Rhinolophus ferrumequinum: one gene and its partners. The protein of the gene in region 2 purifies or fractionates together with the protein of the main gene of each other region. This does not show direct contact. Links are inferred from orthologs where the notes say so. Each region holds a gene or a part of one and is shown on either strand. Other genes may lie near its edges.

Region 1 (7,928 bases), on a different chromosome or scaffold from region 2:
ACCAATTTTCCGGTAATTCATATAAGAGCCAAAATGTTCAATCTGCCTGGAAAACACCGTTGGCTGATTTTCTCAGTGGAGTGCAGGTTTTTGGGCCACTATATACCATCTTACTGTCACTGCCCCCCACCTCCACCCCACTGTGACCCTCACAGCAGCCCAAAGTGGCCTAGAGAGGAGCCCAGAGCCAACTCACTTCTTCATGAGGAAGCGGTTGATGGTTTTCTGCTTCCGCATCACCTGGACAATCTTCCGGTTCAGGTAGACAAAGAGTGCTCCCCCGAAGCCACTGGCAATACTGGAGAGGAAAGAAGCATCCGGGTAAATGGGGATCTTCCCTTTTTTCCCTCCTCCTCTCCAACATAGCCCAGCTCCCTCAGCTCCTCACCCTATGACAGCAAAGGCTGGGAGCTCCTGGAGATCAAAGGGAAAGTCAAGCCGGAACCGGGTTTTGAAGAGAGCAGTGATGGTCTCTGGAGGGAAGGCAGAATAGCAGAGGGAGGTAGGTGTAATGTTGAGGCCCCCCCTAAGCCATCTCGGGGCTCCCCTCATCCCCCAGGACACCCCACCTTCATCACGGTTCCAAACCGCCAAGACCCGGAAGATGAAGGCACTGAAGGTAGCAGCAAAGAAGCCCCGCCAGTAGTTGCGCACAGCGAAGAAGGTGGAGGTGACCTCAATACTGAACAGGACCCCTGTGAGGGGCAAGGAGAACACCACTGGGGGCCTGGGCCTGGCCTCAGGACTCAGACCGAGATGGGAGGGCAAAGGAGGTGCGGCCAAGGCAGGGCTGGGGCCTGGCCTGGCTGTGTACCTCCGATAGGTGCTGCAAAACAGCAGCCCACTCCCACGGCACAGGCAGCGGCCAGCATCTCTGTGTTCCGGGATTCGTTCTGGCCAGAGTGGTGGAAAGGGGTGTCAACATGGGCTCAGCAGCCCACGCCCTCCTCTGCCTTTCCCCAGGGTCCCCCTTACCTCATAGATGCCCCCGAAGAGGGAGAGGAACTTGCTGAGCAGGGCAGCACACATGCTTGCTATATGCACAAAAGGGCCCTGGGAGGTGGGGGCAGGCAGTGAGTGGGGAAGGGGCACAGCCCGACCCTGCCCTGGCTTCTTCCTCCACCAGGAGGGCCTCTTTCATTCCCCAACCTGCAGTTACCTCTTTGCCAAGGGGCATCCCGCTGCCCAGAGCACAGGTCAGCCCAATGACCTTTGCTACAAAGGTCTTGAGGGTGAGGTATTCCTTTAGCACCACACCCCGCAAGATGGTCTTCATCTCAGGGATGCCGGACCCTGGAGTGGGTACAGTCCCAGGAGAGTTATTTGATGTGCCCATTTCAGGGGGTTCCACCTCTGCCCTCCCCTCCTCTCCTACTGTACCAACAGCCTGAGGAGCCAGGATCTGTGTGAATCCCGCTGAGAATGTGATGAGGACGACAGGATAGGTGACCCAGGCCAGGTACTGGAGGAAGAGGCTGGTGTTCAAGCCCCGGGACATCCACTGCTGAGCTGTGGGGAGAGGACATGTTGCCAGACCCCTGGTGTGCATACCCAGTGCCCGCCTGGCCACTGGGACATACTGATATGATGCACTGTCCAGGGAATATCATACAGAACCTCGGTACGCGGAGCAGGGAGGCGGCCCTAGAGAGCCTTCACTGGGACAGAGATCATTGTAGGTAAGAGGGTCAGTTGGAGAGCGGAGGCAAGAAGTTGTGGCTTATGGAAGTGGCAGTGATTATGTCTGAAGATGGGCATTCAAGCTGGCCAAGGAGCCAAATACTTGGACAAGTGTGGCACAGAGGAAGCAGAATGGTGCTTCCCAGCCCTCCTGCTGCCAGCCCTTGTCCTCACCCTGCAGACAGGCAGCGATGGCATAATCCATGGCCCAGCTGACCAGTGCCATGAGGAGCCCCAGCAGGACCAGGAAGATCCAGTCTTCACCAACTCTGGACACTAGGAACTTATGACAGCGTACGGAACAGACTGGGAGCAGGAAGGGAAGAATGGTGGGCTGTCACCAAAGTGCTCCTACCCCTGTCCCCCCAGCTAGAATGGCCTCCATCCCCCTCAGCACAGTACAGCCAGATCCCCTGCCCCAACCCAGGTCTCACTGCGGCACCGGGCACAACGGCTCTGTCCATATTCCAGGAGCTCTGGGGGAACCCGCGGGGACAGTGGACCCCTCCAGGGCTCAGGCCCTCCTAGGCGGATCCGAGCAGCTTCCTCTTTGGCAAAGGCCCCGAGGTCCTGGGTATACCGGCCATACATCTGAGCAATGGGAAAGATGGGGGTTAGCAGACATGTGTGGGCTGAGGGGGATGCAGGGAGGGCCCCTGGAGCCTCAGCTCCCCTTCTCCCAGTCCCCACATTATATACCACCTCTTGAACCCACACTCCCCACTTTGGCTTGGGGTGTGGGAACAATGCACATTGCAGACTGTGGGGGCTGTCCTGGCCTGAGTGATGGGACAGCCAAGGTACAGGAACACAGCTCTAGGGGGTGGCAAAATAATCAGTCCTCTTCTCACTGAGGAGGAGTGGGAGGGAAGGCCCCAGAGGAGGAAAGATGGAAAAACCTAACACAGTCTGAAAGTGGGAGGAGGGAATGTCAGAGAATAAGGGATGGTCAAGGGCATATGGGTAACAATAAGGGCCTTAAGGAGCTGGGGGCAGCTGAGTTGGGCCTAGGAGCAGGCGGGGCCCCAATCCTTATCACGTTCCTGCCAGGCCTCTGGCCTGTGACCCACTCAGCTGCACCCCTCCCACCTACCCTAATCCCCTTGTTCCCATTCTCCACCCCCACCCCCCACCACTTTGCCAGCCCAGCTAGGAGTAGAAAGTCTCTCTGGGTAGGTGGACAGTACTTGGTGGCCTCAGTCCACTCTGGAGCTGCCCTGAGTCCAGTGGTGGGTGAGGGGGACAGAAGAAGCTGTGGCCAGGCTGTGACTGCGGATGCTGGGGTGATGGGGTGGGAGCGTCTCTGAGCCAAGGCTAGACCAGCCAAGCTGGGTGTGTGTTGGGGGGTGGGGAGTAGATTCCGGCTGCCACCCGCAGAGCTTCAGGACACAAGGGCTCCTGTTGGGACAGGGGGTGGGGAGGGAGGGAAAGATAGGGACAGAGAGAGAGAGAGAGAGAGAGAGAGAGAGAGAGCGAGCAAGGAAAGGGAAGAGAGGGAATCAGGGAGGAGAAAAGGAGGAAAGAGAGGCCAGGGGAAGGTGCAGGGAAGAAAGAGGAAGAAGGGAGGAGGAAGGGAGAGAAAGAAAGTGGAGTATAAAGAGGCAGATAAACACTGTTGGTTGGAGCTGGGAGGTGAGCCTGTGAGAGAAAGACAAAGGGATTGGGAGGAGAAGGGGGAGAGACCGGAGCAGAGAGTGCCCGGGCGAGAGCTTGACCCTGGGAACTCATTCCAGAGATAGAGACCCAGGCGAAGGAGATGGAGATGTGCTGGTGCAACAGATAGACACCATTTCAGAGCCAGGTGCCTGGCTTCCGTGACCAATGCCCCACTCTCAGCCTGTGCAGACGGACAGACACCTCCCCCCCATGTGAAGGCTTGCCCCTCTACCCTTGCTCCACCCCCACCCCTGCCACCTCTCCCTGTCATCCTGTTCCATCCAGTCACTCCCTCTCTTAACTGGGCAACTCCCAGCCTCAATTACAGCCCAGGCCCCCTCCTCCTGGAGAGGTTCCCTCCCAGACTCCTTCCTGGGCAAATTCCAGGACCAGCTGTTACAAAGGAGACACAGGGCCCACTCCCTTCCCAACAGTTTGGGTCCCCCACTCCAGTGACTACAAGAAGGGGCAAAAGTCTTCTCAAACACTAAGTTACAGTGGTGGCCATGAGTCAGCTCTGAGCCCCAGGACCCCTGCTTCTAAGGAGGTCAAGGCACACCCCTGGGGTGGGTGGGGGCTGGCTACTCAAGAGTGAGCGTGGACAAAGGTCCCAATTCCCACATCCATTCCTGCTTGACCCATCCTCCCTAAAGCTCCTGTCCCCTAGGGTGGCAGGCCACCTTTGTTCCAGGGAATAGACTGAGGGGTTCCTGCCAATGCTGGGTTGCCAGCCTGCAAAGGAAGGGCCTGGGTCTAGATTTGGGTCTGATCATCTTTCTGCATATAGAAACACTCCTGATGCCTAGCACAGTGAAATGCACTTACTGGAAACAGAGGGCATGTAATGGATGGTGGAGATAAGAACGTAAAGAGAGAAAGTTCAACAGTGTGAGCAGTGCTGGGGAGGAGTAGTGGGGTGCTGAGACGGCTCAGGTGGCGAGGGGGAGGAGCAAAGAAAACGTGGGGGGGAGGTAAAGGGAAGGACACCTGGAACAAGTACCTGATGTCCTTGTCCTATGCAGGTCCCCAGCCTCAGCCAGAAACCTGCATGCAGTTTTCCACCCCTTAGCCCTTCAGCCTCAGTTTCCCCAGCTCAGAAGGCTGGGGTGAGGTTTGGATAGGCCCCCGGTCCTCGCGCTTCCAAGGGTAACCCGAAGCAGCAGTTCTGGAGCGTACACTTCAGAGCTCGGCTCGGCTTCACTTACCAGGGTCTGCTCGTACTGCAGCGCCCGCGGCTCCATCCCTTCCTCTGCCGCGGCGGCCGGGGCGGCCGCCATCTCCGCGCACAGCCCTCGGGCCTCCCACTGCGGCTCGGGCTCCGGCCCGGACTCGGCTCCCAGCCCGCAGAGCCCGCACCCGTACCCGTCCGGTCCCCGCAGCCCGGGCGGCCAAGTGCAGAGAGCCTCACGCTCTCGTCCCCTCCTCCGCGGGCGGGCAGAGGGCGGTGTCCTTCGTGGTGCTCCGCCCGCCAGCCCATACACAGGGACCGGCCCAGCCTGGTGGGGGTCTGAGTTGGGGCGGCCTCCCGGGCTCGGGAGAGGCGGTAGGGGGCGCTAGGAATGCTGGAGCCGGCGCCCCCACTTCGCGGAGGCCTGAGGCTAAGACCCGGAGGTTCCGCTGGCACGTGCAGGGGCCCGGCGGTGTCTGCGGCCCTGGCGGGAGGAGCTGGAGACGCTGGGGCTCGGCTTGGGGCGGAGGACGGCAGAGCCGTCTAAATCAGACTCTCTTCGGGCCCAGTTTTCTCTCTAGAGTGGCTCTCTTGCTTCTCCCGAGGGGCCAGCGGCTCTGATGCGCCGCTGCTCCGCCCGGGGTGAGAAGCAAAGCTGCGGGGACTCGGAGGGGAACGCTAGGCCCGTGGAGGGGGGCCCTAGGGGGGTGTGGAATGCTCGGAGCTGAGACCCTCGGTCTCTCTCATCCTCTCCCTCCTTCCCCCCCCCCCCCCGCGGCTGCCCCAGGGAGGTGCACCTGGAGCAACCTGGCCTGCAGAGGGATGCGGGGGGCCAGGGGGCCGGTGATTGGAGGTAGGGAGGGAAAAAGTGAGCCTGAGGAAAGGGAGGTCTAGGTGCCGGAGAGGCGGCTCCTGGGAGGCGGGCGTGAGGGGACAGAGGTCGCTTCTCCCTGGCAGGGCCCAAGGAGAAACCCGAGTAGCTGCTGACGTCTCGCTGCCTGAGGGGAACGGCCTGTTGGGGCTCTGCGTTCTCTATCAGGGTCCAGAGAAGGATAGAGCAGAGGGTGGGGTGAGCACAGGGTGGATGGACTGTGTGTGTGAGATAGTGTCTGAGAACAGACAGTGTGCGGCAGGAGGCAGTACCAGGATGAAGGGGCATGTGGGAGGCAGAGGTGGTGCCCCGGAGGAGGGGGCACTGCCCACGAAGGGGTCAGTGAGAGGAGCCAGCTCTCTAGAGGAAGGGACTATGTAAGGGAAGAGTACCTGTGGGAGAGGACAGTGCCAGGATGAAAAGGCACATAGATCAGTGTCCAGAGGGAGAGGGCGTTGGTGGGTGAACGGGCGGTACCAAGCTGGAGGTACAGTGTTCAGGAGCGTAGCGTGTTGGGGTCAATACAAGGCTGAGAGGGCGGCGTGGGGGAAGAGAGCAGTGGGGGAGGGTGCGGTTCCAGGGGAAGGGACAGTGCAGGCTTTCCTCTTCCCCTTAGTGACATCATGGCAAATTCCCAAACTTGAAAGGACTCAGCTCAGGTGACATCCAGCTGGGCAGAGCCGGCCCGGGCCGGCCTGGGGGGCCTTAGTACCAGCTGGAGGGGTTGGGTACTGCGCCCTGCTGGGCCAGCGCTCTGGGGGCGGGGTTCTGCTCCGCCCTCCCTTGGCGCGGACTGTGCCCTCGGCGGGCACGCGGACCGGCAGGGTAGGGCTAGGGCCGGGCTCCTCTGGGCCAAGGATCAAGGTCCCTGGCTGGCGTAGGCCCCCAGGCATTCCAGTCTTCCCTACTGGGATTCTAAAGAGGGCGCAGTAGAGCTTCAGCAGAGAGTGAGAAAACGCGCCACCTCGGCCAGAGGTGGGACCTACCGTCATCCCGCCCTAGGGCGGAGTTATTTGAACTTGAGACCCGCCCTCAACACTGAAGCAATTGTTCGGGGCGGAAGTTAGGAAGCCCCGAGAGCCAGGCGACGGAAGTGGCCGTCTTACTGCTTGTCGGTGCGCATGCGTTGTTGTATTCTCTGACTGCTGCTTTTCAGGCGCTGCGTTTTCCCCTCTTCTTTCCTCCACGCGAGTGGGTGCACGTACTCTTAGTCGTGGTCGCGCGCTAAGCCCTTGTGCTGCTCTCGTGGCCCTTTCACCATGGCGGGCATCCTATTTGAGGATATTTTTGATGTAAAAGACATTGACCCGGAGGGCAAGAAGTTTGACCGAGGTAGGTAAGGTATGTAGGGCAGTTTGGGGTTAGGGGCTAACCTCGTCCTTGGGGACACGTCCCTGTGCCTTTGGTCCACCTAACTCACGTGGTCTGCCCCTAACGGCAGGTCCTGATGTACGACCTCTCTTAGAAAACGTTTTATAGATGAGAAAAGTGAAACTCCGAACTCTCTCTGGGTTCATACATGTTGTGCCCTCTTCCTGCGTGGCCTTTTCGCGTGGTGCTAGTAAACTCCTGGGCATCTTTCTAATCGCTACCCACTCTGTGCTAGGCGCTGTATGGTGCACCTTATACACATTTTGTCTTACTTATTCGTTTCAAGAGCCTCCATGAGTAGGTGGCGTCTCACCCTTTTTGCTCTAAGAGCTAGCTGCACAGCGAGTTATCCGACTCCGGAACCTATATTCTTGTATTGCCCTTAGAGTCTTTAGCTCTTTGTGAAGTCCTCTCTGATTTACAGTTGACTGCTTGGAAAAATAAAGAGTAGCTCTTTATTCTGTCATTGATCTATAATTGTTTCTGGTGTCTCTTCCTTTGCCTAGAGACTGAGATGTACTTCAAGACAACACCAGTTCTTACACTTCTGATAATCCCCTCTGCACAGCACCTGGCACAGAAAGACAAAACCTTTGGATGAATGAATAACTTTCCCAAAGTCAGGTTGTTTCTTAATCACCAAGGCAGGCTTAGAATCTGGATATTATTTATCGCCAGAGGACCTTTGATTCATTTCTGGGGATTATGCCCACTGGTCATAGTTTTCTCTCCTTATTGCCTGTTTGGTTCTAATTGAGCCTGAACTTCTGTGAGAGCAGATGAGAGGCCAGTGGAAGCACACTGTGTTAGATTGAGTGTTCTGTTGCATATGGTCCCCCAAAGTGGGGTCTGCAGGCAATTACCTCTGCCTCTCTTCCTCTGCTTCCCTCTAGTGTCTCGACTGCATTGTGAGAGTGAATCTTTCAAGATGGACCTTATCTTAGATGTAAACATTCAGATTTACCCTGTTGACTTGGGTAAGTATTGAACACAGACAATAGCAGAAGACTTTTTGTCATTTCAGCTGTTCTTCACCCTCAGATATTACCATTATTTTCAGGTGACAAGTTCCGATTGGTCATAGCCAGTACCTTGTATGAAGATGGTACGCTGGATGATGGTGAATACAACCCCACAGATGATAGACCTTCCAGGTGAGGGAGTGGAGAAGGGAGTATTTGA
Region 2 (7,051 bases):
AGTTCAGAGAGGTCCAGACTGAGATAAGCACAAGGTTTGAAGCCGAGAAACCGGACCATTGTCAGGGAGTTCAGTACAGAGAAAAAAGGAAGAGTTCCGAGGACTGAATCCTAGAGCTATCCGACGTTTGGAGCTCAAGGAGCTGAGGACGAACCAACAAAGAAATGGCCTGCAAATGATGCAAACAAATTAGGACAAATTAGTCATAAAGAACATGTAATAGCTTGAACTTGGATAGCATTCTCATGCCATACATTCCTCTTCTTCTACTGATACATATTCAAAACAGTCTCTTATTCATTTAGGGTTTGCAACACCCAAGAACTCACAGGAACAGCCTTTTGACAGAATCTGTTTATACCTTCTGAAACCTGCACTGAGACCCGGAACACTATATTTGTTCTTAAGAGTTTGATTATTAGTTTCAATTAAGTCATCAGAAAAGAATGAGGTTATTGTGTTTACTATGAAATACGAGTATATAAAAACAAAATGCAATAAAATGTCACTAATAACAAATTGAGATCGGTAGAATCACAGATGTGATTACACGGGGTTCAGCCAGTAATGATTTACAAATTTCTTTTGAATCTAGATAAAAGAATGAACACTCTTTGGAAGAAAACGAAGAGGGAGGTATTGAAGCAAGTAAAGAAAAAAAGCAGAAAGGTGCTGATATTCGCTGGATGAGAGGGAAGTTTGAAGAATCTTCTTAAATGGAAATTATAATAATCATTATCAGGAAGTAACTTCCCAAATGTTAAAGGTGGAAGACTTGATTTAAGTCTTCTCCTCTCTTGTCCTTTTGGGGTGAGAAATGCTGTGGAAATCCAATAAGCACTGCAGGAAGGAAACGGGTTAAGTTACAGTGCAAGACAACAATGTGGAGTACTATTTAGCCATTAAAAATCATCATTTAGAAGCATACTTAACTCAGAAAAATGTTTATGGTTGAGCAAAAATGTTTATTGTTGAGAAAAAAACAGATATTCTCAATTATCTCAAAAAAAGCAAGATATCTCAATTTTTAAAAATCTACATGCTAGGTAGGAGGGGGTGGGGATGGGGGAGAAGGGAAAGGGATTAGAAAGTACAAATTAGTAATCACAATATAGCCACAGGGATATGAAATACAGTTTCAGGAACATAATCAATAATGTTGTAAAGGTTTTGTAGGGGATCAGATGGGCACTTGTTTTATTAGGGAGACCACGTCATGGACTGTGTAGATGTCTGACCACTGCGCTGAACACCTGAAACTGAAGCTGAATAATGTGGAATGTCAACTATTTTATATATATGTATATGTATATATATGTATGTATACATATATACATATACATAATATATATATATTCATGGGATGTGGAGTACAGCATAGGGAATAGAGTCAGTGGAATTGTAACAGCTACATACCATATCATGGGGGGGATGGGGTTATCACTTTGTAAGGGGTGTAAATGTCTATTACATTATTTTGTTCACCTGAAACTAATAAAAAAAATCTACATGCATAGAAAAACAACTTCAAATATATAGAACAATTGATGGGAGAATAAGAGGTGATTTTAATTTTCTCCTAGTTGCTTTTTAAAATTTTCCAAATTTCTTACGAGTAAGTATCTTTGTAAAAATAAATGTATAAATAAAAATAAAAAATGAGGAGCTACTAAAACGCTGGTGAACTTCAAAGCCCAGAGAATGAAATCAAAGCAATTTCTATCATCTAATGCTCCAGTCAGAAGTTAACAATCACTGTGTGTATGTAGTTCTGTATGTAGTGTGTGTAGTGTCTGTAGGGGACAGGATAAGTTTTTACTTGGTTAGGTTTGGTTATCATAAAACAAATATGGGGGCAGCCGGATGGCTCAGTTGGTTAGAGCAGGAACTCTTAACAACAAGGTTGCCAGTTCAATTCCAGCATAGGATGGTGGGCTGCACCCCCTGCAACTAAGATTGAAAGCAGAGACTGGACTTGGAGCTAAGCTGCGCCCTCCACAATTGAACTGGCAACCTTGTTGAAGGACTAGATTGAAGGACATGGACTGATGGGTCCTGGAAAAACACATTGTTTCCCCCCAAAAAAAGAAAAGAAAAAAGAATACCATTACGAATAAAACCAATATGGAGAAAAGTTGAAAAAAGTCTGGCTAGAAACCGACATTAAATATTAATATATTACAAAATTGGCAAAACAAGTTTAAAATTTTAAGAGCCAAAAGGATGTGGGGAAGAAAACATTTTTACATACTATATATGTACAAATTCTTAGTAGTGATGGATATTAGCACAACCTTTTCGAAAGCAATTTACCAATAAGGATGAAGAAACACAAAATGTGCATGTTCAAAATGGTGCAGCCACTGTGGAATGGTTTGGCAGTTTCTTATAAAACTACACATATAACGACCCAACAATTGCACTGACATTTATCCCAGAGAAATGAAAACTTACGTTTACACAAAAACCTGTACATGTATGTTCACAGCAGCTTTATTCATAATAGCCCAGATGTTCTTCAAAGGGTGAATGGTTAAATAAAGCATGGATACTCAGCAATAAAAAGGAGTGAACTAGTGATAAACACCAACTTGGATAATCTCCAGGGAATGATGCTCAGAGAAAAAAGCAATCCCAAAAGTCACATACTATCTGATTCCATTTCTGAACGACTTTCACTGTTGAAATGACAAAAGTATAAATATGGAGACTAGTGGTTGCCAAGGTTGGGTGGGAGGGTGGGAAGTATGGCTATAAAAGGGCAATTAGAGGGATCCTTGTGGTGATGGAAATGTATTTTGAATATTAATGGCAATATTCTGGTTTTGATATTGTATTATAGTTTTGCAATATGTTACTATTGAGGGACACTGAGTAAAAGGTACTTGGGTTCTCTGCATTATTTCTTACAACTGCACGTGTGTCTACAACTGTCTCCAAATAAAAAATTTCCTTTAAAAAAAAAGTGTCTTCTTTTGGCCAGTTATCGCAAGTCTGGAAATTTGTCCTAGGGATATAATCCAAAATAAGAAAAAAGTTAAATGCACCAGATGTCCACTACATCGTTATTTACAACAGGGCAACGAAACCATCTAAGTGTCCAAACAAAAATATTTAGACAAGTCATGACATGGCCACCCAAGAATTAAGCAGTCTTTTGATACAGCAACAAAGAAATGTTATTTGAAAAGAAATGTTATTCAAAATTGAAGTACAATATGACAGCTCTGTGAAGGGGACTGGACGATATTACAAAAGTCTTATTAGTATTCCATGTGGACTTCTAGCAGAAATATTTGCCTTTCTTCAAACTTTTCGTAACGTTGTTACATGGCTTTCACATGATTTGGGGATGAGGGTGGGGGGAATAACAGTAAAGGACATTTTTTTAATGTTAAATTACAAATGTCGGAATCACAATAAAAGTTCTTTAAATTCGTCCCGCCCTGTAGAGCAAACTTCGTTTTTCAGGTTCCAGGTTTGGATCAAGAGCGCACCCAAGGGCCCGCAGTCCTGAGCCCGGGGCGGGTACCATTAGGTAGGTACCCGGTTGGTCCGCGGCTGCTGCTCCAGAGCTGCACTCAAAAGCCCCAACTCGGGACCCCCGAGCAAGGGCGAGGCCGCTGCCCGGAGGTGCAGTGACCACTCTAAGGTCACCATCGAGCCCGCAGCCGCGGCTTGGCCCGGCCAGGGCTCCCGACTCTGAGTCGGGGTCTTGTTCTCCGCCCCGCGCCCCTCGCCCCACCCGGAGCTGCGACCCCACTGCCCCAGGGTGGAGAATCTCTCTGTGGAGAATCCTCATATCGTGTCGGCGGCTGCCAAGGCCCACGGACCCTGAGCTGGACGCTCCCACCCACCGCCTCGAGCCAAGACCCCCGAGCGCTGCACTGTGGCGTAACCTGGACCAGTCCCCTCTTCCTTTTTCGCCCTCTCAACCCAGCTTTTCCCGACTCCGGGAAGAACCGGGAAGAGAAGGCGGAGGCGAGCGGGGCGCCGCCGGATAAATACTGTGGCCAGCCCCGCCCACCGACCTCACTTCCGCCTCGCGGCAAGATGGCGGCGCGCGGGTCCCGCCACGCAGACTTCCGCCTGGTGCTGAGACCCAGGGCCGGCGGTGGGCCGCGCCGGAGTTGAAGTTGGAACGCGCGGGGTGTTGAGCTGCAGTCCGGGTGTGCTGGGGTGCGTCGCTGCCTCAAGTTAGGCGGGACCTGGGGAGAGGGCGCGCCAGAGGCTTTAGCCCGGGTGGTCCGGGGAGTAGCCACGTGGGAGGGGAGGAGCTGTGACACTGCGGGAGGGACGCACTGACTGAGGGGCGGGCGGCCAGGTGGGTGGGGCTCCGCCCAGGGTCCGCGTGTCAGTCCCCTCGATTGACTTTGTTGTCCTTTTTCTCTTCCCTCGCAGGCGACATGTCGGAAGGAAACGCCGCGGGCGAGCCCAGCGCTCAGGGAGGGCCCCGACCCCTCCTCTCTGGGGCCCGGGGGCTTATCGGGCGGCGGCCGGCTCCTCCCCTCACCCCGGGCCGCCTTCCGTCCATCCGCTCCAGGGACCTCACCCTCGGGGGAGTCAAGAAGGTATCCGACTACCTTGAATTCCAGGCCCCTGGGGTTCAACTGATGTTCGTGTAGGGCCGACCGTGATCCATGCGTGATGTTGGGCCTTCCGGATCTCTTGTCCCCAGGTGTTTTGTTTCTTAAAACCCGTGAAAGTCACGCAGGCATAAACTTGGCCTGCAGTTTTAGAGAGTTCTGAATTCGCCATGGATCCCAGTGTGCAAACTTCTGGTCTAGAGTATCGTGAATCCTACTCTTGGCATTAGAGGCTCTGTTCCTCTCCCATTAGGTTTGTGACTGTTAGGCACTGCCGGCGACTCGCGGGAGACCAAGATTGGTCTATTAGAATTTGGCTGTTTGAGCTGCGGGAGGTCAGGCCAGAGCAGAGGGAAAAGACCATAACCTCCCCAGCAAAGAGGAGTATGGAGTTTTATAGGAGGGGTAAAGGAGGCTGTTCCCCCTTCAATGCCTCAGGGGGTTTTTGTTACAAAGGGTTTCAGGGCACGACCAAGCCCTCCAGCTCCATACCCTGGCCCCAGGTCGCCGTCCAGACCGCCCAGGCTGATCACAGGCCCCTAGGAGATAAAGCAAGATAGGATCAAGACAAGATGGCTTTTAAGATAAAGTTTCAGCTCCTGGCCTAAACATGGTTTAACAATAACAATACATGTAAAGAATTGCCCTGACCGTGGAGAGGTGAGGGCGATGACAGAAGCTTAAAGCAGCTGGTTTTTAAAGACTGAAGTTTGCTTAGGGAAATTCTGGCGGCAGTCTAATTTATCATCTGTTTGTGAGTGCCGGCAGCATCTGTCTTTCCTACTTGAGCCTTGCTGCTAGAGCTCTTTCCCTATGATATTCACTATTTTATTATTTTACTATGACATAAGACCAGGTATAATACGATATATAACCAGGTCTTATATTAATTTTTGCTCCAAAAGACGCATTAGAGCTGATTGTCCGGCGAGGTCTTATTTTCAGGGAAACACGGTAAATTCCTTTGCTCTTAGAATTTCTGAGGGCTCTCCTTTCAGAGAGCAGAAGCTGAGGCTGCTAGTTTAAATGGTTTTTGGTGCCCCTTTCTTCTGTGTATAACACTACTGCCACCATGACATGACATTTTTCCTTTACAAGCATGAGTCTTTTTCTGTAAATCTTTGACAACAGTGTGGAATGCGCAGAAGAGCCATGGTGGTCTAGGTCCACATAAGAAGCCCTTTGGGAGTTTTTCGTCTGTATGTTGGGATCAGAATTTACCAAATCAGTGACTCCTGTATTTTACTTTCAGAAAACCTTCACCCCAAATATCATCAGTCGGAAGATCAAGGAAGAGTAAGTAACTAGGCCTTCTGAGTATTATTTACTTGCTCTGAATTTGGGCCTTTTGGGAAATAACTAAGTATGTTGCCCAGAAATTTAAATTTGTGTATGTATTTAGTTCTTTTCACTAGTGATTTTCAACCTTGGCTCTCAGATGATTCTAACGTGCAAGCTTGGAACAATACTGATGCCTGGGGGTCCGTCCCAGAAATTGTGGTTTAACTTGTTTGCAATGAAACAGTGATTATCTTTTATAGCCAGAGTTGAGAGTCACTAGTTTAGGCAAAGATGTATCAAGTTTTCCCCTGAAGTTATTTTGCATTACAGCCTACCTGCTTTCAATCAATACAAAAAGTCCACATTTTAGAGCTGTCACTATAATTTAACTTTTGAGTTATAGTTCTAATATATACTCACAAACAAGAAGATAAAGTAAAGCAAACTGAAAGGACTACCCCATCAAGGAAGTGTAAAAGGTACTAGATGTTGTATTGGGTTCTGTTTCTCATGATGTAGTTGTTGGCTGAGGTAGAGCGGAATGGTGTGGGAAAATAAGACCAGTTCTCTGAGGCAGGGTGAGTGAGTGCTGTCCTTTAATCCATTCTCTTTTCCAGGCCTAAGGAAGAAGTAACCATCAAGAAGGAGAAGCGTGAAAGGGATAGAGATCGACAGCGAGAGGGGCATGGACGGGGCCGGGGTCGCCCAGAAGTGATCCAGTCTCACTCCATCTTTGAGCAGGGCCCAGCTGAAATGATGAAGAAAAAGGGTACAGATGTGCTGGGGAGAAAGGGATCAGTGGATGTTAGTTCACACTGCCTGATAGAAGGGCAAGGGCAGTGGAATTTCCTAGCTCCCAGTTTAGTTTTCGTTGCTAATGACCTCTTCCTTCCCCCTGGTGAGCTGGATGTTTTCCCGCAGGCAATTGGGATAAGACAGTGGATGTGTCGGACATGGGGCCCTCTCATATCATCAACATCAAAAAAGAGAAGAGGGAAACGGATGAAGAAACAAAACAGATCCTGCGCATGCTGGAGAAGGATGATGTGGGTACCAGCAGGCTAGTCAGAGGAGCCTTCTTTGTAGCTATGGAAAGGGCCTCTGGGAGCCAGGGTTGAGGGAAGAAGCCTGATGAGCAGCAGGAATCTTCGGTTAGAAAAGGGCTAAGATAGATTGCAATCCAG
Region 3 (7,293 bases), on a different chromosome or scaffold from region 2:
GTGAGCACATTACATCTTCAGGTCTGGGCCCAACTACCCCATGATGCCGTCGCTGACTGCACTACCTAAAGCAACCTCCCCGTCATTCCCTCCCATGAGCCTGTTTGCCATCCTTCTACAATCTGTAACACATTTATCATCTTGCTTATTGCTTGTCTCCCCCAGCAAAAGGTCCACGAAGGCAGGGATAGTATCTGTCTTGTTCTCTGCTGCAACCCTGGGATCTGGCATAAAGTAGGTGTTCCACAGACACTTGAATGAATTAAAATAATTAAAAAACAAAATACTCAGGCTGCTCATTTATACTGCGATCAGCAGTAAACCAGATTCAGCACAGCAGCACTAAGCATGAAAGGGGCAGAAGGGGAGGGTGAGGAGGGAGGCATCTACTCACTTTTCTTTCGTACAGCAGAGACCAAGAAAGGATACTGTCACACACATCAACAGCAGTGGGTGTCAGCAAATGACAATGACATTCCGCCTCATGCTGGTCACCATGAAACCAGGGAACCAGACTGTAATAATTAACTGTTCAGCTTCTGTGCTGCGCAGCCCCACTCACTGCCTCCTCACCCCCTTATTTTTCCTGAAGGAGCAGACTGCCCAGGACTCACCAGCCATTACGGAGTAGTTGAAGTGTTCCGCTGCAGGATCCAGGTTCACAACTTGCACAGACCGGTGCAGGGCTTCACAGTGCTGGACCATGGTGGCACAGTAGGTGCTCTGTAACGTCCCAAGGGACCAGGGGTCAGAGCAACAGCAGTGTAGGGCTACCCTCTGCACCCCAGAAGGACACTCTACAGCCCCTGGGCAGGGTCTACTAAGGATAAAACTATGCCTTCATCGGCCAAGACGCTGACTGAAAACAGAAAGGGCACCAGGCTGGGAGCCAAGACACTGGATTGGACTGTAGATTCAACTTGGCTGTGATTCCTGGGTAACTTTGGGGAAGCTGCTTCTCCATGCTGCCCCTCAATTTTCTCATCTCTAACTAGGATGAACTCCACAATCACTAAGGCTCCTTTACTACTCTAACGTGCAACAAGAGGAATTTAAAGGGAGGATTTCCAATGACATAGTGCAGCACGAAACACATGGTGTATCCACAAAGACTTGTAGAGTCCAAGCAAAGCTGTAGTCAGGGTGATCAGAGCCGACATCTCTGAGGAGGGGATGTGTGAGCCGAGGGATGGGACAGTACTTGCCAAGCCAGGGGAAGAGCATTCCAAGATGAGGAGCATTGAGGTCAATAAACAGCATGGAGGTCAGCTATGAGTTTGCAACTTTTGGTTTAGAGAATAAGACCTGGTGTTATGTTATATTATATTATTATATTACATTACATTACATTATATAAGACCTGGTCTAATATTACAGTAAAATAAGACTGGATCTTATATTAATGTTTGCTCCAAAAGATGCAGTAGAGCTCACAGTCCGGTTAGGTCTTATTTTCGGGGAAACATGGTACTTGTCTACCTCTCCCACCCTCTATGTAAAGGCAGGGATGTGTCGTATTCAGTTTTACAGGCCCAGGGACTAGCACAATACTTGAAGGCACATAAGAAATGCTTGGTAATTACGTCTAACTGACTGACTTAATGTTTAAATATGAATTCCACAAGGCCAGAGATTGTGCGTGTGTGTGTTTTGTTCAATAACACAATTTTCAGAGCCCAGAACAGTGCTTGGCACAAAGAACAGGCTCAATGAGTATTTGATAGTAGGCTTCAAAATTTTGTAGAAAAATGCTTTCTAACACCATCAGTCTGAAAAGCAGTCTAGAATCACCCCATAAGTGACTTTATACATACATACCGGGCCATATCAGTCACATGTATATCTCCTGTACCGAGATTAGCGCAAGCCTCGGAACAATGTGTTCATTTAAAGACTAAAGCCACGAGTGGCCAGTTGGCTCTGTTGGTTAGAGTGCAGTGCTCTTAACACCAACTTCACCAGTTGGATTCCCCCATGGACCAGGGAGCTGCGCCCTCCACAACTAGATTGCGAACGACTTGACTTAGAGCTGATGGGTCCTGGAAAACACACTGTTCCCCAATAAAAATTTAAAAAAATGACTAAAGCCACACAACACCTCCACAGACTCGAGTGTTTCCTATACTCCTGTTACTTGACCAATATTTTCACTATTTCTACCATATTTGAATGCCCCCTAATATTCTTCCCTTCCCTTAATATTTGTTTACAAGAAAAAACCATATCATTATTGTAAACAGAAAACCAGTTATATTTATAACATGAAGGTAACCATAAAATTAAATACAACTTCACAACTCTTTTCATTCTAACTAAATATAATTGCCTGTCAAAAGCTCTGAGTCTAAGCTCTCCCTGAAAAGACCTGGGGATTTTAAATATGTGTTGAAAATACACTAGCATCAAACTGACAGTTTCACCTCAATGCAAACTGAAAGAACTGAAAAGGGAGCAACTAGCTCAATATATAATTCAATGTTCATGACGCCAGGGCCTAGTACGTCCTAAAATCGCCTCAAATACCAGAATCCCACGTTTTAAGCTCCGAGAAACAGTGGTTAACGAGATCCCACTTTAACCTCGTGGGGGCAAGACAGGGCCGGATTCTGGAGTTAGCTAAAACCGGATTTAAATTCCCGCCGCCACTTACTAGCTGTGTGATCAGATCTTGGGCAGAAAGTTAACCTTTTTGTGTTCCCTTATTTGTAAAATGGGAATAGTAGGACTTATCTCACAGGGTTGTTGTGGAAAATAAATGAGGCGTTCAGCGCATTATCTGGGGTATAAACATAGAATAAATATCAGCAACTATCATTATACCCCTTTCAAAACAACAAAAAAGACCCTGAAGCCCAGACTGCAGAAGCGAGCTGCCCAGAGTCTCAGGGCCCACAATATACACACGTTCCCGAACCTCCCGGCTTCCCATCAATTGCGATTTGTCCCTCCTTCTCCCGCCAAGTCCTCACCTTCCCGCTTCCTGCGGGGCCCATGACCAGCTGCGCATACCGAGGCATGTCGGATCCCACGGTTTCCCCGGCCGCCAGCCGCACAGTACCTATCAAGGGTCTCACTGCTATGCGCGATGCTCACGGAGTTCCGGGAACACAACGTGCGAACCAATCACAATCCAAATTCTGTTTACGTCTTCTGTTCTGCCACACCTCCGACTACGGAACGTCCCGCAGGCCAATCCCGTGTGAAATGAGTCCTGAGAAAACCCCGGGAAGGAGGGAGGTTGTTTGCGCGTGCAAAGACGAAGTTGGCGGAAATCCGCGGAAGGGCGACTGGCGAAGCCTGGTTGCCTTGGTGATAACGGATAACGGCTAACACTCAGCATTCCTGCGCCGGGTGCTTGGGTGCTTGGGTCCTTGGTTTGCGTACTGATGTTTGACCTATATGGTGACACTCAAGATTTGTAATTTGCTGAGGGTCTGGAATACAGAGGTGGAAGGCACCTCCTGTTTTGGAGGGCATGTGTATTTCGTTTCCGTGACACATCCATTCCACAAAAAGATGCCAACGTGCAAAACGCGCAGCAACTAAAGAACTCCCGCCCCTCCCCTAGTCTAACTCCAGGATCGTGGATCTGCCCTCCCCGCTCTCCCGAAGCTCTTCGGGCAGTGTCCGCAGCGCCTCGGAGGGTGCTACAATCCGGCGTCCGCCTCTTCACCCTCAATATCACCCGGCCTGACGCACGCGTGCTGACCGGGGAGGGGAGGTGGGGAAAGCTTTTCCCGCACACAGCTCGCAGTCCAGGCACCCGGGACGAAATGCCCGGCCAGGGTCCGATGTCCGACTGGACGGAGTGCAGCTCTTCCACAGAGCCGCCTACGGTGGCCAGGACCGAGGGCGGCGGCGGCGGGTGAGGCTGCGGGGCCCTGAGGGGTTAGGGAGATGGCGACCGGCCCCGGGTCGTGATCTCCCTGTAGAAGAGGGGTTGAGAGATGGCTGCTCCAATGGACAGGTTCGCAGTGCACTGAACTGAAAGGCGGGAGAACCCTCTGTTGTGGCTGGGATGGGACTAGAAACCGACTCACTGTTTAGGGGAAGGGCTTCTGAGGAGGAGGATTTGGTGCAATGACTGCACGCGATGACTGCGACAGCCGCCTGCGTGCATCTTTCTGTCCCGAGGGGGCGCTGCAAAACCTGCTGAAAAAATCTGGCCACGGGATCGCTACATAAGCGGGGCTGGGAGAGAGGGGAGACTGCGGGAACAGAGTCCCCTGGCTCAACCGAAGGCTTCCAAGTCAATAAATTAGTTCCCTGTGTGTGACATTGGCGACTTTATGTCAAATGGGGATTCATAATCGCCAGTAAAACAGACTATAAATATTAAAGGCACCTTGATCTAGACATTTTCACACAGAAATCCGTTTGTTTTGAGCAGATTTTTACTATTATTTCCTGAATGCTAAAGAGAATTAGTTGTTGAAATCACTGCTGGAGGCAGTACCTTTTCATCCGTTATTCCCTAAAAAAGGAGAGGTGCCGGTGTTCCTCTGCAATTCAGCTCACAGTTTTATGGCTCCTGCTACACCCATGACCATCTTTTTTTCTTTTCTTTTCTTTTCTTTTCTTTTCTTTTCTTTTCTTTTCTTTTCTTTTCTTTTCTTTTCTTTTTTTCTTTTCTTTTTTTCTCTCTCTCTCTCTCTCTCTCTCTCTCTCTCTCTCTCTCTCTCTCTCTCTTCTTTCTTTCATTCATCTGGTGGATTGAAGACTTTTTAAAGATGGGATGAGGTTTTGTGTTTCTTTTCTGTTCATCACAGTGCTTAGTGAAGTGCTGGATCCTAGTATATCAGGAGATCAGTGAACTCTTGTTCATTGAATAAATTGAAAGACAGGGAAGGAAGGGTGTTTAGTCTTAATTTGAGAAAAGAACTTGTCCAAAATTAGAAACATTCCAGACCAACTTAGTTCCAGTTCACCTTAATTATATACAATAAAGAACAAAACAGTCTTTTCCATAGCCAAATTACTTTATTAAAAATAAAAAGAACAAGAAAATATTATGGATAGCACAGAAGCCCAAACTACTTTATTGAACTCAATGTAGGCATTAGATTAGGAGGCTATAAAAGTAAGAACAAATCTGGCTTAAAGTGACTCTTGTCTGGTAAGGTAAAAATCCCAGACAACTCACTTTGAAAATGTCTGGAACCAGTAGAATATAACCAGAATTACAGGAGAAAATTTGCAAGACATTCTGTCTGATGGAAACATGAAAAGTAAAAAGCATATGCAATATTGTCCTTTTTCATTTAAAATACTTTAATGCTTATAAAACTGTCAATTATTACATATTATTTACATCCTTTTTTTTCCCCCAACAGATCAGCTGGACAATCTTATTACCAGAATTCCAGAGGTACTGGTGAGTAGAGCAGATATACCTATAAGTAATATGGTTCAGAGAAGCCAATTCTGCTGTAACTATTCATACAATGGAGTTTTTAAAATAGACTTTATTAGCGTCCTTGGTGAACTTAGTCTGTAAGATTTTTCAAAGAACAAATGGGCTTCTTTGTCTCCCATTAAGATATCTTACATCAAGCATTTTAAAGAGTACTTCAAAATAACAGTGAATCTGAAAACTGTTTATAACTGATGTTGGTTGTAAGCACAGAGCACAGCGTGGGATTTATTCACAGATTGAAGGAAAAAATTCTCAATTGAACAACTTCAAAGAACAACTTCTTAGTGCTCCTATTTTCCTCTCCCTCCGAGTAAAGGATAGAGCTGCTGGAGTTAAGAGAGTAAGGCAGGTCCCAAAAGGCCTCTCACACATTTTTTTTTCCGGGGAAGCAATTTCAATTCAATGATATATAAACCTGGATTCACTTTACATTTCCTTGGAAAATTTAGTCCTTACAATTACCTATGAAAAGCACACCTGCACATGTCTGAGTGTGTGTGTGTGTGTGTGTGTGTATACATGTATATGTGTGTGTGTGTGTGTGTATATATATATATATATATATATAAATACGTATCCATCAATATTGTGGTTTTTAAATGGAATTGTTGAATCATATGGCAATTGTACTTTTAATTTTTTGAGGAACTGCCATAGCAGCTGCACCATGGGACATTACCACTAGCAATGCACAGGGTTCCAATTTCTCCACATTCTAGCCAACATTGGGGTTGTTTTCTTGATGATCGTCCTATGGGTAGGAGGTGGGATCTCACTGTGATCCCTAATGATGGTTTGCGTTTCCCTAATGATTAGTGACAGTGAGCATCTTTTCATGCCCTTATTGGCCATTTGTGTATCTTCTTTGGAGACATCCAAAGTCTCTTCAAGTCCTTTGCCCATATTTCAAGTGGGTTGTTTGTTGTTGAGTTTAGCTATTATTTTTAAATGTTTAATTTTCTGTAAAGAAATGCTATCGAGCTTTTCAAAAATTAAATTTTAGTTCAGGCTATAATACGCACCTCAGAAATGTAGATTAGCAGGGACACAAAAGAGAGATTCTTAGATAATTAGCCCACATTTATGACTTAAAAAAGAATTTTTTTAAAAATAAACTTTTTAAATGTTAAATTGATACTCATTTTATTATTACAGATTCCAAATTATGATTTAAGGGTCATAATAACATAATTTCCAGGTGATTTTTTATTTGCTGCAAACTAGTTAGTCCTTCGGTATGTAAATATAACTCTTATCTGAACTATCTGATTTGCCCAAATTCTAAAGAAATAACTGAATTTAAAGTTTAATATGTAAACTTATAGTGGCCTTTGTTATCAATAATACTGAAACAAAACTGTGCTTATTTGATTCACTTTACCAAATACAAACTTTTAACTTAAAATCTGTTCTGCCAGCTTTATTTGTAATAGCCTCAAACTGCAAACAACCCAAATATCCATGAATAGATAGGTGTATAAGCAAATTGTGGTATATACATACATACAATGGGATATAACCCAACAATAAAAAGGAATGGATGAATTTCAAATTATGCTGAGTAAAAAAGCCAGACAAAACCGAAATATACTGGTTTCCATTTATATCAAACTCAAGAGAATGCAAGCTAATTTACAGTGATAGCACATAAGTGGTTGTCTGGAGGGAGGGGGGGTGTGTGGGGAAGAGGGAAGTGTTACAAAGAATTATTTCCTGATTAAATTTTGCCAGATATGGTTTTTCCCCAAAGTGCTACTAAAGTTTATACGCTAAATTAAATTATTGGTCTCAATATGTATGAAATAAAATTGAAAATTAGTTTCTATTCTTCTGGGAATAGATCTCAACTTTTGTTTTTACCAAGAGACTATTCTTTT
Region 4 (7,535 bases), on a different chromosome or scaffold from region 2:
AAGAACCGGAAAGTGGACAGGAAGTAGGAGGGCAGGGAGGACCAGTGGAGTGGTAGCTGCAGTTCCAGACTTCAATCCATATTTTAATTACCAAGTCTATATTTAGCAAGACAATGTGGGAAAAATAAAAAGGAAGGAAGGGATGGGTGGTGAGAGGGCCTCCCGGGCGCTGACCCACTTTCTGCACTGACTGCAGAGCGCTGCAGTCCTGGCCACGAGTTCCTGGCCTTGTGCCCTTCGGAAGCCCCGACCAGCATCAAAGGAGGTACTTAAGCAGCTCCGGCTCTGTGGCAGCTGCCGACCCCATCAAAAAGACACATGTCATCAGCACTGTTCTTTAATTGTCCTCCACTCCGCAGCTGGGGAAGACGGGGCTGGCCCAGGATTTCAGGTGGGGTCAGTGTGAGTGCAGGGTCACCGCGACGGCCTTGGTTGTGGCATTGAGCACGACAGCTGATAGCCTCGCAGCAGGGAGCACGGCAGGGATCTCTCTGGGAACCCTCTGCATGGGTGGGATGTTGGGACCCTCCAGGGTGTCCAGGATCCCTGCGAGGGAGATGGAAGGTGAGCGTGAGCTGGCGGGGCACCGCCCTCGGCAGCGGTGGCCCCCTCCCCGCACCCCAGCCTCCTGGCACTTACCCTCCACCACCTTGTGGTAGGCAAAATGCAGATAGAGCAGGAAGAGCATGTGCAGGGCAGCCAGGGTGCCACAGAGGAGCAGCCGCTGCGTGGGGCCCACAGTCCGTGACACCAACACTGCCACCTAGGACCACAGGAATACAGCTCAGGGGGCCTGGCTCCAGTGTGGGGAAGCCACTCCTCCCTAGAGCAGAACCATCTTTGGGCTCTGGCGTCCCACTCAGAGCCCTTTGTGGGGTTTTGCCTGCACTAGGGGCTGCTGCCCCCACCTCCCCAGGAGGACAGCCCCTGCCCATCTTACCATGCGCAGGGTGGATAGCCCCCCCACCAGCAGCCAGAAGAGGTAGAAGAGGGCGTGGAGGTGGATGTTATAGGTGACGAACAGGACGATGCAGTGCCCGAAAAGGCCATAGCCCTAGGGAGGAGGATGGTGGAGAGGAAAACCATTCAGGCCGGGCTGGCCTCTGGACCCTCACGGAGACCCTGAGAAACAAACGGTCGAGCGGCCCGCTTACTCCATTCCCAGCCCTGGGGCCGCAGCACAGATGCAAACCAAGGCCTGGCTCCTCTTGTAAGACCACCCTTGCCCACCACCGTGCTGGACTCCTTACCAGCAGCGCCAGCGTCTGCAGCATGGTGATCTGGGCGTTGCACAGGTAGGCGAGGAAGTAAATGAAGGACGAGACACCCAGCCAGTAGCCGAAACAGGTGCCAATGGCTGTGCCCATCAGGGTGCCCTCCCGCTGTGGGGGGAAGGCTGTGCTTAGTCCTGGGAGGCCAATGGCCTCAACCTCACCCAGGGCCGTCCTCAGGGCTGCTTCTAACTCGCTCCACCACCGTCTCTTTGGGCCGCTTTCAACTCAGTTCAGCCACCCCCCAGCCCTTCAAAGTCCTCTGTCCTGCTTACGATAATGGTGTCAGATGTCTTCATCCCGTGGAGGAGGATGGCAACCAGTGTGAAGACCAGCATGAGAGGTCCGTAGAGCTCACCTGCGATTTTCTGTCAATATACCAACTCATTCAGGCTGGACGGTACAATGGCTCTTCTGTTGATTTCTCCCCAGGCTTTGTCTGGTGGCCCCACCCTCTGACCGGTGCCTCCCCCCGGCTCTTCTAGTCATGCCACCCCCTATTCACCTGGGGGAAGTTGACCATCTTGATGGGGATCATGGACTCCAGGAGCCTGGGAGAGGAGAGGAGAGGAGAGATGAGCGCAGAGGCAGCACGAGGCTATGAGGTTCTCAAGGGCCTGAATCTCACTCACTTCTCTAACTCCAGAGAACATGCTGGATGGTACAGGGAGAATGAGGAGATCACTTCCTTGCCCCTAAAAATACTTCCAGGAAGGGCAACCCTTTGATGCTGTACTGACAGCTGCAGCAGCAATATGAACTCAGGGAGCCCCGCTGGGCCTTGGGAAAGGGCTTGACAATTTACATATGTGACGTGCTCCCCTCTAAAAGGCAAACTTCAGCAGAGAATGCCCAGAATTCCACACTGTAATAGTGCAGGTTACTTGAGGGAACCAGTGTGCCTCCTGCCTCTGTCTGCTTACAATTGCCCCAGGCACTGTCGAGCATTTTCTTAAAATACATTTGAAGTGGTGTGAAAATTCCAGGCAGAAGGAATACAAGTACGAGTACAAGCCACTTCCCCGTTCTCTTAAGTGGCTAGTTCCTAAAAATACCTTTGAATTTGGCTGGATTTTACCCTCCTCTGTGAAACCTGCCCTGTTCCACCTCAAGCCTACTCTAGGGTCAAGAGTCCCTTCTATGTGTCCCTTCATAGCAAATGAGTGCTACACTGTAATTACACTTGAGAGCAAAGCTCTCATCTGGCTTCACCACTAAATCAGACACAGCTAGTAGAGTACCTGGCACAGAGCAAAAGCTTAGTAAGTACTTGCTGAGTACACTGGGTATTTGGTAAGCAAGACTTATGCAAGTATGAACAAAGAAGCAAGCCAAAATTAATTCCAGTTTTTGAAATCATTCAACAACTATGTACCAATATTCTGATTCAGAGGTTCTTCTGGTGCTTGGAATGAAAAGATAAACAAAACAGAGCCTGCTTTTGAAGTGGTCTCTGGGGAGACAGACTCAAGAATAAGAAAGTACAGCCGTGCTGAAGTGTTATTTATTAGGGGAAAGCGCAGAGCAATACGGGAGCACCAGGAAAGGACAAACCAGGGATGAGGCTGAGGAATGGGGAACAAAGGAAGCGACATTTGAGCTAGGTTTTGACGAAAGATGAGTAGCTTACTAGATGGACAAGAGGAAGAAGGCAGTGTGTTATCAGCATGTCCCGTTCTGGGATTGAGAGGAGGAATGGCGTGGCTGGGGTACGGGTACAACGATGAAGGCTGCTGGTGTCATGAAGACGGGTGTCTAAGGACTTGGTCTCTGTCCTCTGAAGGACTAGGTGTGAGGAGGGCAGCTTCCGTCAGGAGAAGGGTCCTCACCTGCTTCGCACCTGGGCAGGCTCCACATCAAAGTAGGGTCTCAGGATGTCGATGTTGGCATACAAGCTGAAGGCCCTGGAGGCTTGTCTCTTTCCTGCCTGCCACATCTGAAGAAAGAGGACGGGCGGGGTGGGTGGCTAGTGTGAGACTCTTGGCTCTCAGCCCTGTTGCTGATTTTCTGTTGGATTTCTACATGGTTCTAACTGGACAACCTGGGGTGACTGACCGTCATCAACACCAACTCCAGAACCTGGGGCCTCCTAGGTGTTTTTTTCCACCTGCCAGGCATCCAGTCTTGCTTACCTGATCAGCCACCTGCCGGCTCAGCTGTCCCTTAAAGCCCTTCATGCCCAGGAACTCCCCATCCTCTTCTTCAGCAGCGGCTGCATCAGCATCGACTTCTTCCTCGCGCAGACGCTGATGCAGCTCACCCATATCCTCGAAGCTGGAGCCTGACGTATCATCCATGTTCTCCATGTCAATCACAGCTGAACCCCCACCCTGTGAAGACAATAGCTCCTCGTGTGCAGGACCTTTCTGCTCCATCCATTAAGTGTTTCTCTGTTCCTCCCAGGACTTGGGGCTTTGTCCTTCCACTGAGGGGGATATGGCCCGGAATCACCATAGATGGTGCCACTCTTCTCCTCATTTGCTCTCAAAATCTTTCTTGTTTGGCTCTCTTTTCTAGCCTGGGAAAGTACTCCCTACCTTTCATACATGTCTTCCTCCTACCTTCCCTACCAAAGTCTCAAAGGGCTACAAATGTGCCCAGTTCCTTTGTCTCTCCCAACCCCCATGCAAGGTTGTGCACACAGTATGGTTTTAGCCAGTGCATTACTCCCCCACCCGCTGCCATGCCTGACCCCGACCGACCTCCTAATTTGTCCCGAAAGCAAGAGCGGGTCGGCCCAGAGAGCGAGGCCCTCTGACTGGAGTACAAGTCTGGCCTTTTCTGGTCATCACTGGTCCCACTGACTTTCGTGTGTGCTCGAAGAGCCAAAGGAGAGAACCAGTGCTGCAAATGGAGCAGACTTCCAGGCCCCGAGGGAGAGTCCCCACGACACTTCTGGACGACTGCCGACCCTGGGGCAGCTGGCAGCTGAAGCCTTGGGGCCATTACCTGGATGTTTTCTTCGAACCCTCCCCATTCTGGGCCAGCCCCGTTTCGGGAGCCGCCGGCCGGCGCCGCCGTAGTTGCCATGTCCCTCGAGGGCTCCCGTCGCGGAAGCCTGCCCTAGCCCCGCTCGTGGAGGAGTGGGAGAGACGTAGGCCTGAAGAAAGGAGAGGTCCAGGGGCAAAAGGGAGGCGGGATCAGCCGGAATGCAAAAAGGAGAAACCCGGATGTTTGGCCAAAACTAACTTCCGGAAGCTGGGGACGTGGACGGAGACAGGGCAGAATCTCGCGATATTTAACCTTGAAGGCGGCGGGGCGTTGCCACGGAGACGGAGGAGGGCGATTAGAACGCAAGCGCCAGTTGCTACCCTAGTCACGTGGAGGGGTTGAAGATGGCGGCGCCCCAGGCAGTGGAGGAAATGCGGGGCCGCGTGGTTCTCGGGGAGTTCGGGGTTCGCAATGTAAGCCTTGCGGTCTTGAGCTCGGGAGGAGAAATGAGAGTGGAACAGGGATGAGTTGGGATCGGAGTGGGGACGGGCTTGGCCTCGCTGCCCCTTCGCGGACAGACTCTTCTCTGCTCTAGGTTCATACCACCGACTTTCCCGGTAACTATTCCGGCTATGATGATGCTTGGGACCAGGACCGCTTCGAGAAGGTGGGTGGAGCCGGAGGTGTCCGGAGAGGGTATGAGGATCGGACCGTGTGATCTGAGCAGCCTGTGCCTCAGAAGCTGTCCTTGGGTTTCGCTCCGTTCCTAAAACGTTTATTGAGCACTGTGTTAGGCGCTCCGTGTACACGGTTTCTGCTCTGGTCTGCGAACAAACTCAGTCTTGTTGGGGAAGAGCGCGCGTAAGCAAATGATTCCAGTATAATGTGGTAAAGGCGGTTGATAGCACTAAGGATGACCGGAGGTGGGTCGGGGGCTGTCCCATTCCGCAGAGGCACTTAATCTAGAATGGGGAGGAGGGCAGAAGTAAAGTGGGTCAGCATGAGTGGTAGGCAAGATTGAGTAAAGTGTGTCTTAGACACTAGGTGACAGAGCAAAGGGGAGATAAAAGGTAGGTTTAGTGATTGCTTTGTATCAGCCGTGAGGGGAGACTGTCAAATGACGCAGCTTGGGGAACTGCTTTGATGGATGGTGGTGTCATTTATTGATGAGAACTGGGGCTGGGGAATGATGATGATACATGCTTTCAGTTTCCTTCAGGTGGAGAAGTCTAGCAGGCTAGTAGAATATATGTTTGAATTGAGGTCAGAAGTGAGATATAATTTGGGGAGCTGTCAATAGAGATAGTTGCTAAAACCATGAGTGTGGTTGAGGTCACTCTGGAGAGAAAACTTGGGAAATAGGTTTGGGAAAGCAAAAACTTGGGAAATCGTAATATTTATGGAGTAGGTGGAAGACAATGAATTTGGAAGGATTGATCAGAGAAGGGAGAGAACCAGAAGATTGGTGCTCAGAAATCAAGGCAACAGAGTTTGAAAAAGGAGGGATCCTATCAACAATGCCAGATACAACAGAGGAATGTAATAAGGATCGAGTAGTGTCTATTGGACTAAGCAGTGTGGAAGCGTGTTCTTTAGCACAGTAGCCTTTGCGGATGGTCTGGCTGGAAGCCGTACTGCAGAGGATTGTAAATGAATGGAAGATGAAAACAGGGAGACTTTTAAAAAGAAACTCATAAAGGAGGACTTGGAACATCTAATGAGGGCCATCTGGGCAAAGGGAGGTTTTTGGATGAGACAGAATGTTAATACCTTGAGGGGAATATCGGAGGGTGGGGGGGGGGCCCGCAGGTATTGACTATACAGAGAGCAAGCATCATTTAGTGTTTTTCTTGTCCCTTTAGAATTTCCGCGTGGATGTGGTACACCTGGATGAAAACTCATTGGAGTTTGACATGGTGGGGATCGATGCAGCCATTGCCAATGCTTTCCGACGCATCCTGTTGGCTGAGGTATTGGTGGGTCTGGCGACGGGGTAGAGTTGCACGGGGAATCCATGCCATTGACCTCGCTTGTAGAATTGTGTCAAGGTTTATTTTTCCTGCCGTTTTGCTGAGCATTCCTCTTGCTCATTTGTAAACTTCTAATCAAGGCTTCTTCTAGGAAGAGGTCTCTCCCTATCTCTGTCAGCCGGCGGGGAATAGATGCGGAGTCTTTAAGGTCTTTGTAGATGAGTGGTTCTGTTTTGTTGGGCAGGTGCCAACCATGGCTGTGGAAAAAGTCCTGGTGTACAACAACACATCCATTGTGCAGGATGAGATCCTCGCCCATCGCTTGGGGCTCATTCCCATCCATGCCGATCCCCGTCTTTTTGAATATCGGAACCAAGGTGAGGGTTTGAGAAAATGAAATTTGGGGGAAAAGGGAGCAGCTCTCCTCCGCAGAGTAGATTCTAGAATCAGACTGCCTGTATTCAAATCCTGGATTGACTACTACAAGACCTTAGGCAAGTGACCAATCTTTTGGTACATCATTCTTTTTATCCATGAGAACCCCTGCCCTTGCCTTACTAAATTTGTCCAGGATTACAGGAGAAATTGAATGCATTCAGCATGGCGCGCAAATATTCACTAGTCCTTTAAGAGCTGCCACCTCCTCCCTTTGTGCAGGAGATGAAGAAGGCACCGAGATAGACACGCTGCAGTTTCGGCTGCAAGTCAGGTGCACTCGGAACCCCCATGCTGCTAAAGATTCCTCTGACCCCAATGAACTCTATGTGAACCACAAAGGTGCGTGTTGATTGGTAGGGTAAGGAAGAGGGCCCATCTGGTGGTGGGTGCCGGTTTTAGGGACTGGGGTCTTCTTGATGTGCTTCTCCCTCCAGTGTACACCAGACACATGACGTGGGTCCCCCTGGGGAACCAGGCTGACCTCTTCCCGGAGGGCACTATCCGACCAGTGCATGACGACATCCTCATTGCGCAGCTGCGGCCTGGCCAGGAGATCGACCTACTCATGCACTGTGTCAAGGGCATTGGTGAGAACCCTGGGGGCTGCCCTGGCGAGGAAGGTAGTTCCCATCCAGTGGCGTGAGGTGTGACTGAGGGACTCAGCTAAGATGTGATGGGCAGAAAGCCAGTGGGCCTTTGGGAACGTGAAGAAGGGTTTTCCCACAGGCGCTGTTTTCCCTCTAGGCAAAGATCATGCCAAATTTTCACCTGTGGCAACAGCCAGTTACAGGCTCCTGCCGGACATCACCTTGCTCGAGCCCGTGGAAGGGGAGGCCGCTGAGGAGCTGCGCCGGTGCTTCTCACCGGGTGTTATTGAAGTGCATGAAGTCCACGGTACGGTATTTGGTCAGGTCAGGACCTAAAG

What was found. The genes of interacting proteins can lie anywhere in the genome.
Region 1: the proteins of POLR3D (region 2) and POLR2H purify together in Homo sapiens (affinity purification with mass spectrometry; 4 studies listed by BioGRID and IntAct, with this or other methods). This does not show direct contact. The link is inferred for Rhinolophus ferrumequinum from reciprocal best matches to the Homo sapiens genes POLR3D and POLR2H.
Region 3: the proteins of POLR3D (region 2) and GPN3 purify together in Homo sapiens (affinity purification with mass spectrometry; 3 studies listed by BioGRID and IntAct, counting the BioPlex papers as one, with this or other methods). This does not show direct contact. The link is inferred for Rhinolophus ferrumequinum from reciprocal best matches to the Homo sapiens genes POLR3D and GPN3.
Region 4: the proteins of POLR3D (region 2) and POLR1C purify together in Homo sapiens (affinity purification with mass spectrometry; 6 studies listed by BioGRID and IntAct, counting the BioPlex papers as one, with this or other methods). This does not show direct contact. The link is inferred for Rhinolophus ferrumequinum from reciprocal best matches to the Homo sapiens genes POLR3D and POLR1C.

What each region holds. Positions count from the first base shown.
Region 1 is NC_046285.1:60,795,488-60,803,415, reverse strand, and holds the start of POLR2H (DNA-directed RNA polymerases I, II, and III subunit RPABC3), read left to right. Parts: upstream 1-4,921; 5' UTR 4,922-5,124; coding exon of another isoform or gene 5,125-5,146; intron 5,147-5,949; exon of another isoform or gene 5,950-6,531; 5' UTR 6,532-6,634; coding exon 6,635-6,707; exon of another isoform or gene 6,708-6,716; intron 6,717-7,639; coding exon 7,640-7,723; intron 7,724-7,806; coding exon 7,807-7,900; intron 7,901-7,928. UniProt on the Homo sapiens protein: DNA-dependent RNA polymerase catalyzes the transcription of DNA into RNA using the four ribonucleoside triphosphates as substrates.
Region 2 is NC_046301.1:44,199,636-44,206,686, reverse strand, and holds the start of POLR3D (DNA-directed RNA polymerase III subunit RPC4), read left to right. Parts: upstream 1-4,039; 5' UTR 4,040-4,169; exon of another isoform or gene 4,170-4,179; intron 4,180-4,401; 5' UTR 4,402-4,406; coding exon 4,407-4,571; intron 4,572-5,838; coding exon 5,839-5,882; intron 5,883-6,484; coding exon 6,485-6,636; intron 6,637-6,788; coding exon 6,789-6,913; intron 6,914-7,051. UniProt on the Homo sapiens protein: DNA-dependent RNA polymerase catalyzes the transcription of DNA into RNA using the four ribonucleoside triphosphates as substrates.
Region 3 is NC_046308.1:6,149,083-6,156,375, forward strand, and holds the start of GPN3 (GPN-loop GTPase 3), read right to left. Parts: upstream 3,008-7,293; coding exon 2,970-3,007; intron 908-2,969; coding exon 901-907; intron 733-900; coding exon 615-732; intron 1-614. Other genes in the region: protein FAM216A, read left to right, coding at 3,774-3,865, 5,334-5,374. UniProt on the Homo sapiens protein: Small GTPase required for proper localization of RNA polymerase II (RNAPII). May act at an RNAP assembly step prior to nuclear import.
Region 4 is NC_046286.1:12,846,896-12,854,430, forward strand, and holds the start of POLR1C (DNA-directed RNA polymerases I and III subunit RPAC1), read left to right. Parts: upstream 1-4,528; 5' UTR 4,529-4,606; coding exon 4,607-4,675; intron 4,676-4,797; coding exon 4,798-4,869; intron 4,870-6,064; coding exon 6,065-6,172; intron 6,173-6,416; coding exon 6,417-6,549; intron 6,550-6,829; coding exon 6,830-6,949; intron 6,950-7,044; coding exon 7,045-7,197; intron 7,198-7,354; coding exon 7,355-7,504; intron 7,505-7,535. Other genes in the region: protein YIPF3, read right to left, coding at 398-546, 640-763, 941-1,054, 1,251-1,382, 1,547-1,639, 1,777-1,822, 3,101-3,207, 3,404-3,601 and 1 more. UniProt on the Homo sapiens protein: DNA-dependent RNA polymerase catalyzes the transcription of DNA into RNA using the four ribonucleoside triphosphates as substrates.